Oryctolagus cuniculus: one gene and its partner. The protein of the gene in region 1 purifies or fractionates together with the protein of each later gene. This does not show direct contact. Links are inferred from orthologs where the notes say so. Each region holds a gene or a part of one and is shown on either strand. Other genes may lie near its edges.

Region 1 (5,475 bases):
CACACTGGTTTATGTGGTAAAAGCCACATCGCAACAGGGTCATGGCACCATTCCTAGGGACGCATTTCACACAGTGAACCGTGATGTGAAGCACACCACACAGGGCAGGGCAATGAAGCAGCTCAAATTATAATGTATTTAGACTGACATGACAGTTGCTCAAAAAGCTGGCTCTTAAGTCTAATGAAGGTTTTACACAACCTTACACATACTTTCAAGAATTCTATCAGGAAATTCACTGTATACACTGACTTTTTCAAAATGGCCATTTCTCAGGTTTGACACTTTGAGCGAATATCACAGCAATTCAAATTGTTTACATGCCTTCTTTTTCATTCCTTTTGTTTTTAATTTTCTATCCTTTAATAGCTAATATGTTCTTTATTAATAGTTTTAATTTGAATGGCAGAGAGACAGAGACATATGGAGAGAGATCTTCCATTAGCTGGTTCACACCCTAAACGCCTACAACTGTTGGGGCTGGGCCAGGCTGCAGCCATGAGCCAGCAACTCAATCAGGGTCTCCAATGTGGAAGACCCTACTTAAGCCATCACCTGCAGCATCCCAGGGTGTGCATTAGCAGGACGCTAGAATTGGATGTAGAGCTGAGACTCAAATCCAGACACTCCAACATGAGTTTCAGGCATCCCAAGTGGCATCTTAAGTGTTGCACCAAATGCCCACCCCAATAATATATTCACACAGTTCAAAATTCACAAGAGGAAAATGTATCCCTTCCTACCATGTCTCTCAAACACATACTTCCCATGTCTGGAGGCAACAAATGTTATCAGCTAGCTCCTTGTATGACTTTACAGAAAGATTTTATATCTTGATAATTATTTCATATCACAGCATTAACATTTCTCAGTTTCCTAATGGTTGCAGAATATTCTATTGTGTGCATACAGTATTTTATTCATTTACTGAGTAATTATTTTATAAGTATTATATTCATTTACTTTTAATTGAGAACTATTTGAAAAACATGCAGTTCTCTGGGCAAGAGATGTTATGTTTCATCCACAGTTGGGCTTCAGAAAATAGGTAAATCCCCTAAAACGGTGTGCATGTACCCATATGTACTCCTCTGGACAAAAATTTGCATACCACTCACCACATTTATCAAAGGAACTACAACCCAGAGGTTACCACTGTCCTATAATAAAACTTGTACACAGGTGCTTATAAACTCTTGAATACAAATTTTAGTCTCGATTTTTGCTAATGTTTGTATTTGAGTCTGGAGGGCTAAATTAAATACCAATGTAGTCCAAAACTCTTATCTACTTTGAGCCTTTTCTCATTAATAAATGGTAAAACTGACCCACTGGGGCTAGCGCTGTAGCATAAGATGCGGCAGTGCCCCATGTGGGCGCCAGTCCAAGTCTCCACTGCTCCACTTCCAATACAGCTCTTTGCTATGGCCTTGGGCCCCTGTTCCCAAGTGGGAGATTCTGAGGAGGCTCCTGACCAGTCGGACTCTGGCCATTGCGGCCACTTGGGGAGTGAACCAGCAGATGGAAGACCTTTCTCTCTCTCTCTGCCTCTGCCTCTCTGTAACTCTGGTTTTCAAATAAATCTTTAAAAAAAAAAAAAAAACTGACCTATTTGATCTGAATTTTCAGATTCATTTTTCACCTGCACCACGAATAGGAGTACTAAAGAATGGATTGAAATTAAATGTACCTGACAGCTCAAAAGCTGACCATTTAACCCACTGCTCATAACTGACAACACAAGAAGCACCGATCATATTCCTTAAACTCTATTTGACTTTCCAAAGAGTTCATTTTGAGAAAGTTCATTATTGTTGGTTGACTAGTTGTGTAATATCTGCTATATGCCATGCCCTAGAATGGAAGTTTTACATATATTATATACTTGCTGCATTGTCAAAACAATCCCTTAAGGCCAGTAGCATTTACCTCCTCTTTCAGGTAAGAAAACAGGCTCAAAGAACTACTTACCTGCCCAGACGTTAAGTACTAAACTAAATTATAATGCTACAGTACTATGAACTATTATACTAAAACCATCCACCCCCTCTTCACCTTCAAGATGTCACATCTCACCAAGTTCCCACAATACCATAGTGCCTGAACTCCAAAATGCAATGAGGACCATTTTAGAGAGGCAGTGTAATGTAGTGGTCAGAAATACCTAGGCTCTCACTATGATCACCGTAGTGGTTGTATGACAAACCTCAACACTCAACAAAATGCCTCTACCATCTGCAAAACTCTACCGGTGTGGGCTGAAAGAGCAGATAAAGCACCTGGCTCACACTGACCTGAAGTCGCTCGGACAGGGAGGGTGTCTACTGTCATCATTATTTTATCGTTTTTTGAGAAGAAATACAAAAAGGTGCAAGGTTTCCCAATGTGGCATAAAACACTTTCCCCCTGGAATGCTGTCATTCTGACAAGTTGGAGAACGAAAAAAAAAATTATAGCTGATCATTAACTATCTTCTGGCTTAATGGAACATCTTAAATTGTCTTAAATTAAAAATACTTCACATGTTGCCATGTTCTCACGAATGTGTTTTGCAGCTGCATGTTTTCCCCATCAACTCGTGTGAATGCTTATCCAGAACGACACACTGAGATTCTGCACGTTCTTTAAAGATCTCAACACCAGGTGACGAGGGATGACAGCTGTCAAATACATTACACCTGCTTCTCCTCCCTGTAAATCGGCTTTCTGGTAAACCAACCGTGGGATCTCTTGGACTCCTATGAGCTCATCTAAGTAAAATACCTTCTCCACGCACCCCCGGTCTCCAAAAGACCGAGACGGGCGCTTGGTGGAGTTCTCAAGAATCAAAGCTGAAGGCCTGACACAGCTGATTCAAGAGAAAGGAAAGGTTGTTACATTCTTCTTCCTTAGGAGCCACACCTGGAAATCGGCTTCCTGGGAAGGACTCACACTGAGGTGTGGGGCAACGCTTAACAGGAAGAAAACTTCACAGCTGCATTCCCAAGCCACCATCATTACTCTCCTCCTTCCTCCCTTCCCCCAAAAGTAGAGGTGGGGGGTGGGGAGGGAAAGTGCCGCGTTGCACTCAAATCCCTGCGCCCTAGCAGCACGGGCTGCAGTCCGCGGACCCGCGAAAGCCGTGCGCCCCGTGCCGGGTGGGTGGCCCCTCTGCGCCTCGGCTCCCCATCGCCGTCCTCCCCCGCTCCGCATACCACGAATGCCCCGTCCACACCCGGCCTGCCAAGGCCTCCCGAGCCCTCCAGCCGCACGACCTCCCCCAGGGGCTCACCATCGCCGCCCCAGGACTAAGGCGCGGGCGGGCGGCTGGGCGTGCTGGCCGTCTGGGGAATCCGTTATCGGGTCTCGGGATCCATTCGCGCCAACAACTTCTCCCGCGAAGTGGAAGAAGCGGCGGCAGCAGCGCGCGGTGATGACGTCACGAGACGCGCGCTTCCCCTCGGCCCCGCCCGGAGGCGGGAGGTGCAACGTGGGCCCAGGTGCCGCCCCGGAGGCTGTCCTCGCGGGGAACTGCGGGACCGGGCTGAGGGGCGTAGCTTTGCGTCGTCGGCGTTCGGCCCGGGCACCCACGTGGTACATCGGAAACCCAGGTTCCTCCCAGTTACACGTCTGGAGGGGACACCGCCCTCCAGTAGCTTTCCAAAGTTTTTAGCTCTACGGGCGGTAAGATCCACAGGCGAGGTGTACGTTGCATGTGGTACATGCAACTATCCTGAAACAAGAATCTCACCAAACACGGGTTACCCTGATCTGCGCTTCTCTTCACGTTTGACCCACCTGATCGGCTTTCTTCACCTGCTAATAAGAGGATACGAACAGTGTGAAAGACGCGAGCCTAAGGGTGATCTTTATATATTGTACAACTCAGACAGTGACTCATCCATCACCACAGTCCTGCCCGTTGATGAGCAAACAAGTTAAGGGGTCAATGTTGTTACAGACCCAAGGTGTTGGACATCTTGGCTTCCTAATTCCCAAACCTGAGCCACTCCGCCATGGCCCCCACAGGGCTGTGGTCTGGGGCCCGCATTCCGAACCAGACCTCGGATTCGAATCCTGGCTGCTCCTTTTCTGATCCCGCTCCTTGCTCATGCACCAGAGAAAGCAGCCAATGGTGGTCCAGGTACAAGGGGCCCCCCATGGAGTTCCCGCTTCGTCGCGGCCCCCTCTAGCTGTTGGCGGCCATTTGGAAAGTGCACCAGCGGATGCTGCTCTCTCCCTCTCCCTCAAATAAATCTTGGGGGGGGGGGGGGGGCAAGGCTTAGAAAAGGTGTGTCTCCGTAGAAAAACTATGATCCAGGAAGTCACAGTCACAGAGAAGTCCCTGAATCGTGGAATAGAATGCAACATTTGCATTCAATTTTAAGAGAGAATACGAGACCATGAAGAGTTTTGTGGAGAAAACAGTATCTCCAGCTTTGACCTTAAACTTTCTATTCCTTGGGTCTTGCACTTGGTGATCCCAGTATCTCTACACTGATAGATGGCAGAGCCTTCTAGAATACAACAAAGGTTGGGCACTGTGAGCTTGTGGTGTTTAAACACACCTACTGCGGTGTGTGCCAGACATGCAGCTCTGTGCTCTCCGACTGTAGCTCATTTCATCTCCACGTTGACACTGAAGACTTAAAATTTACCAGCTGTGACTCAGGAACAGGGCCTGGCTGCACAGTGCGCTCTGAGGCCGTTTGCTAGGTTCCTGGCCCCACCACGGGCTAGCTCGGTGACCTTAGGCAAGTGTCTGTGCCTCGACTGCAAAATAAGAACAGTACTACTTCATAGGGCTGTTACGGAACTGTTCCTGGCATGCAAGCAGAAGAAATCGTTCGTTTTTAAGACATGATTATTATTATCACACAATGCTGATGTTTTAAAGGGAGATAGTTATCTACTCCATGGTTTTGCTTACGGAAACATTTGGTTCACAAAAGGGGAGTCATTAGATGCTTTGCAAAATCAATGGAAGGGGTGATGTGGCATAACCGGTAAAGCTACCACCTGCAGTGCCAGCATGCCATATAGGGACTGGTTCCAGTCCCTGCTGCTCCACTTCTGATCCAGCTCTTCTACAGCCTGGGGAGTGGGCCAGCAGATGGAAGATCTCTCTCTCTCTCTCTCTCTGCCTTTCACATAATTAAATAAATATTTTTTAAAAAAATCAATGGAAACTGGGGCCAGTGTTGTGGCATAATGGATAAAGCTGCTGCCTGCAGTGCCAGCGTCCCATATGGGTGCCGGTTCGAGACCTGGCTGCACCACTTCCAATCCAGCTCTCTGCTATGGCCTGGGAAAGCAGTAGAAGATGGCCCAAGTCCTTGGACCCCTGCACTCATGTGGGCCATTTGGGGAGTGAACCAGAGGGTAGAAGAAGGAACTCTTTCTCTGCCTCTGCCTCTCTGTAACCCTGCCTTTCAATAAATAAATAAATCTTTAAAAAAAAAATCCATAGAAACTATGAGTCCACTTCCCAGAAAA
Region 2 (5,725 bases), on another chromosome or scaffold:
TTTGCAGTTTACAGTTCCAGAAGAGCGTCGAAATGGATTACATAACTGTTCTTTTTATCCCTGGTGTTTACATCTGTCCCAGGCTGACACCTGCTCTTGGCTGGCCCACTTTGGTATGGGCTTTAATTTCACTACCCCAAACACAGTACTGTCATCTGCTTTATTATAATAATGCTCAAGATGCCTGAAAATCTCATTTTGCAGCCAGAAAAGCCTTGATTGAATCCTTTTGGCACTAACTGCAAAGGAAGATTTTTTTCTCTAGATATTGATTAGCAGGTAGTGCTCCAATTAGCACGAACTATAACCTTGATAAGTAAACAGCAGCTGATGATTAACAAGTGGATCGTCATGTTCAATAGTTCACAAGTGCATGAGAAGTATTCTGATTGCTGCTTTCTTTTTCTTACACAGAATTGGCAGAGGGGGTCGATTTGGGAGGAAAGGTGTGGCTATAAACTTTGTTACTGAAGAAGACAAGAGGATTCTTCGTGACATTGAGACTTTCTACAATACTACAGTGGAGGAAATGCCCATGAATGTGGCTGACCTTATTTAATTCCTGGGATGAGATAGTTTGAATGCAGTGCTCGCTGTTGCTGAATAGGCGATCACAACGTGCATTGTGCTTCTTTCTTTGGGAATATTTGAATCTTGTCTCAATGCTCATAACGGATCAGAAATACAGATTTTGATAGCAAAGCGACATTAGTCGTGAGCTCTTGTGAGGAAAGTCATTGGCTTATTCCTCTTTAGAGTTAGACTGTTGGGGTGGGTATAAAAGATGGGGTCTGTAAAATCTTTCTTTCTTAGACATTTATTTCCTAGTTCTGTAGAAATGGTTGTATTAGATGTTCTCTATCATTTAATAATATACTTGTGGACTAAAAGGTATAAGTGCTGTATAAAATCAGCCAATTATGTTAAACTAGCATATCTGCCTTTATTGTGTTTGTCATTAGCCTGAATAGAAAGGCCTTTGAAATTGATTTTTTTTAAGAAAGCATTTGAATGCGTTTTTGTTTGGTATTGTATTTATTCAATAAAGTATTTAATTAGTGCTAAGTGTGAACTGGACCCTGTTGCTAGCCCCAGCAAGCAATCATATCTTAGGTAGGGTTAAACTCCCAGTAAAATTGCCATATTGCACATGTCTTAATGAAGTTTGAATGTTAAATAAATTGTATATTCACTTTAAGGTTTTTGGTCACTTTATTTACATTCCAAAAAATCTGTTACAAAATTTAACAATTCTGAGTTAGCTGCTGCATCACAGTGGCACAAAGGCTGAGCAATTGCAGATGCTCATCAGCGCCATCTGCTAAGCACTTGTCAACTTCCTGTAATACAAACAAGATGTTAGTGTTCTTTCAGGTAGACCCAAATAACTTAGCATGTGCAAAAGCAGTGCCTACTTACAGCCAATTTTTCAGTAATAATGGACTTCTGTTTGTCAGAGAGGTCGTCATTTTCCACAACCACATCATGAAGTTGATTTACAACCTGAGTTGCTGCATGACCCTCATCTATTAGGTCCTACAACAGAAAGGCAGCAGTTGATGGGAGCATGGGTCACTTCTTCCTTTACCCAGAGTTAATGAGCCGAATCTTACCTTTACCACACCTTCTAGTTTGTCAAAAGAGCCACCTTGACATGCAGCAAATATTCCATTGATTGTTTCTGGTGGTATTACCTAGAAAAGTCATTGGTTTCTGAAGTAGTATTAACTGGCAGAAGCAGTACTCAATAGGAAGCTTGTGCAGGAATTAGCCTGAAAACCCTATGGGCCTGAGTCACAGGGGTTCCTGTATATAGTCTAAGGAATAAGCAGCTCCTCTAGCCAGTGGTTGGGGGACTTGGAGCCCAACCTTTTTATTGACCCTGAGGTACTCCAGTGACAATTCTCCATGGCAGTAGTGAAAATCAACAAAGTCCCTTTTCTCCAAATTTCCCTCCATGGAAAGGTGCCACTAAGGAACTGGAAAGTCGACAACACTGATTACTCAAGTCATTTCCCAGCTAAGTTCACAGTGTACAAGGTAGTATGGCAGGTACTCAAATGACTTCTGTAAATTGGAAGTGCCTCTTAAAATCAAGCCTCTTCATCCGTGGCTTCTACATCACCGCTCAGTAAGGGGGAAGGTGTGTACTGATCTGAATGCACAAATTTTATCAGTATTTACTAAGTAGTACAGTATTAACTAGTTAACAAAGCATTTTATGTATAAAGGGATTGGTAAGATTTGGGGACCCGTGGGTCCCTGAAACCAATCCTCATTGGATACACAAGGAATGACCAACTCTGGCAAAATAGGTGAAACCTATCTGCTGAAAAATCTTAAGTACCACAAAGGTACATTTACTTGTAAAATTTTAAAGTATAATTTGACAGTGTTAACTGGGTGAAAATCCCCTTACAGCCACCTAAAAATTGCAGAATTATCCTATGTTCTTACCCCAGCAATGTCTGTGATTACATTTTCCGTGACCTCCTTTCCACCTGTGAGTCTAGTAGCACTTTGAAGAAAAGTAATGGCTTTTCTCAAGTCTCCTTCGGACACTTTAACAAGATAAGCTATTCCCTGAAGAGAAAAGAGTTGTTTTTAACCTGTGATGGCCAATTAAGGCATTTTCCTTTAATAAAATGAAAGGGGGGGGGGCATGCCATCATTTCTGTGTATGGAAGAATACCATCAGTCCTGTTGTCCTATTGTAACTGAGTTCATGGACAAAGCATGTGTCCAGTGGAAGGATTAGGGATGAGACAAAAAGACAGTTCTAACTTCTCTATCGTAGTTAAATTTTCTTATAATGACTAAGGCCTTATATATTCCTATAACTTGAGACAGCACAGTATTAGGTAGGAGACTAGAGATTTGTTGCAGAATTTGTGTTATATGTATGAAATCCCCCTCAGTTTTGGGTTGGGACTCTGAAATCTCGAAACAGTGACCAAAAGCTAAACCGTGTGATTCCTAGATATTCCTATTGTTGCTCATTTAACTTAGGTTTCCTGAAGAATTAGCATCAGGACTGAGGAAATACATTTAACTGTTTTAGGGTCTCATGCATTCATCAAAGCAATCAGTAATTGTAATAATAATCAGTATTTACCTCATTGCTAATTATAACATTTTCCTTCTCAGCAATGTCCAGTAATCGCTGCTGTTGAATTTTATCTGACAAAGGCTTGAACCGGAATTTTGAACACCTAGAGGTCAGGGGTTCAATTATTCTGCAAAAGATTACAAAAAACGAGTCAGGAACAAACCTGTGCTGCGTTGTGGCATAGTGGGTAAAGCTACCACCAGTGTCACAGGCATCCCATATGCTCCTGATCCAGCTCCCTGCTGATGGCCTGGGAAAAGCAATGGAGGATGGCCCAAGTACTTGGGCCCCTGCCACCTACATGGGAGACCCAGATGAAGTTCCTGGCTTTGGCCTAGCCAGAGTGAACCAGTGGATGAAAGATTTGTCTCTTTTCTCACTATCTGACTTTCAAATAAATAAATAAATCTTAAAAACAAAACAAAACCCCGATTTGATGCATGACAAAGTGCAGCCTCCAAAAATTTAATTTTTTTTCTCCTCCAAATTGAAGATACCAAAATAAGGCTGTCTAATACTTATCTTTTGGGCGATATACCTACCGGCTTACATAGTTACAGATGAGACAGAACCGGGTGGTTTTTGATTCTTTCTCCATGGTACGTCTTAAAGCTGCTTGAGCAGCTGAGGTCATAGAATCTGCTTCATCCAAGATCACAATCTTAAAAGGAGGACATGGCTTCCCACTAATTCAGAGAAACACAGGAATTGAACACTAACATATATGTTGTTTTTAACAGCATGGCTTAGATATAATACACATGCAGTTTACCCACTTTATATGTACAAGACAGTGCTTTCTAGTATACAGTAAACCCCTCACCTCAGGCATCCCTAATGGATGCCAGAAACTGGACAACACCGAATCTATTTTCTTCATATATAGACATACCTATGATAAAGTTCAGTTTAAAAATCAGGCAGAGTATGGTTAACAACTAATGATAGCAGAACAGGTATAATATACTGTAATAAAATTGCCAGCGTCCACCCTTGCACTTAGGGGCCACTATTAAGTAAAATAGCGTTACTTGAATATAAGCACTGTGATACTCCAGTCAACCTGATAACCAAGACAGCTTATGAAATGTTTCTAGAATTTTCCATGTAGTACATTCAGACTAGATGACTGTGGGTTACTGAAACCCCAAAAAGCAAAACCAGGAGGAGCCCTGTGGCATGATATCTCATATCAGAGTGCCTGGATAGAGTCCCGTCACTGCTTCCAATCCAGCTCCCTGCTGATGCACCAGAAAGGCAGCAGATGATGGCCCAGGTACTTGGGTTCCTGCCACCCGTGGGAGACCTGGCTGGAGTTTCTGGCTCCTGCTTCGGCCTGGCCCAGCCATGTCTGTTGCAGGCATTTATGGAATGAGTCAGCGGACAGATTTCTCTGTCTCCCTCTCTAAATAAATAAATCTTTAAAAATAAAAAAAGCAAAACTCAAACTGCAACAAGGGAGATGACTGAATTCCCAGAGTTGTGTAACCATCACCACAGTCTAATTTTGGGAGAACTTTTTACTCCAGCTAAGAACTCTGTACCCATTAGGAGTCACACCTCCAATTCTCCCACCTCTAAGTTATCTCTAGTCTATTTTATGTCTCAAAAGATTTACCTATTCTGACATCTCATAAGGCTAGCACCTTACGTTTTTTTTTTAAAGATTTATTATTTATTGAAAGGCAGAGTTTACAGAGAGGTGGGGGGTGGGGGGTGGGGGTGGGAATCTTCCATCCATTGGCTCACTCCCCAAATAGCCTCAACAGCCAGAGTTGGGCTGATCTCTGGTCCGGAGCCAGGAGCTTCTTCCAGGTCTCCCACCTGGGTGTGGGGGCCTGAAGATCTGCTGCTGCTTTCCCAGGCCAATAGCAGGGAGCTAGATTGGAAGTGGAGCAGCAGCACTAGAACCCACGCCTGTATGGGATGCTGGTATCATAGGTGGCAGTTAAGCTGGTATGCCACAATGCCAGCCCCTCTTAAGTTTTTCAGAGTTCATCCATGTTGTACAGAGTGTCGTGGCTGCATTCCTTTTTATTGCTGAATGCTATGGTAAATGAATACACCACATCTTATTCATCCATTCATCAAGTACACATTTGGGTTCTCCCATGTTTTGGCTATCAGAAATAATGATATAATAATCTTTAAGCAGACACGTTTATTTCTTGTAGGCATGTACCTCGGAGTATGGGTCATAGGGTAACTTTTTGAGGAACTGCCAAACTTTTCAGAGAAGCTGTACCATTACACGTTCCACTCAGCAATGTATGAAGGTCACAGTTTCTGCACATCCTTGCCAATATTTGCTGTTTTCTGTCTGGTTAATTATAACCATACTACTGAATGCAAAGTGGCATCTTATCATGGTTTTGATTTTCACTTCCCTAATGGCTAATGAGATTGAAGATCTTTTCATGGGCTGTTGGCCACCTGTATATCTTCTTTGGAGAAATGTTTATTCCAATCCCTTGACCATCTTTTAATTGGGTTGTTAATCAGTTTTAAGAGCTCTTCATGTATTCTGGGTATGTATGTCCTTTTTCAGATCAATGATTTGTAAATACCTTCTCCTACTTTGTGGACTTTCACTTTCTGTACACTGATTTTGATAAT

What was found.
Region 2: the proteins of RFC1 (region 1) and RFC4 fractionate together in Homo sapiens (co-fractionation; 7 studies listed by BioGRID and IntAct, counting the BioPlex papers as one, with this or other methods). This does not show direct contact. The link is inferred for Oryctolagus cuniculus from reciprocal best matches to the Homo sapiens genes RFC1 and RFC4.

Annotation. Positions count from the first base shown.
Region 1 is NC_091433.1:33,273,572-33,279,046, forward strand, and holds the start of RFC1 (replication factor C subunit 1), read right to left. Parts: upstream 3,569-5,475; 5' UTR 3,275-3,568; coding exon 3,272-3,274; intron 1-3,271. UniProt on the Homo sapiens protein: Subunit of the replication factor C (RFC) complex which acts during elongation of primed DNA templates by DNA polymerases delta and epsilon, and is necessary for ATP-dependent loading of proliferating cell nuclear antigen (PCNA) onto primed DNA.
Region 2 is NC_091435.1:96,451,345-96,457,069, forward strand, and holds the end of RFC4 (replication factor C subunit 4), read right to left. Parts: intron 3,796-5,725; coding exon 3,652-3,795; intron 3,237-3,651; coding exon 3,116-3,236; intron 2,584-3,115; coding exon 2,458-2,583; intron 1,695-2,457; coding exon 1,614-1,694; intron 1,537-1,613; coding exon 1,420-1,536; intron 1,341-1,419; coding exon 1,245-1,340; 3' UTR 1,194-1,244; downstream 1-1,193. Other genes in the region: EIF4A2 (eukaryotic initiation factor 4A-II), read left to right, coding at 415-559. UniProt on the Homo sapiens protein: Subunit of the replication factor C (RFC) complex which acts during elongation of primed DNA templates by DNA polymerases delta and epsilon, and is necessary for ATP-dependent loading of proliferating cell nuclear antigen (PCNA) onto primed DNA.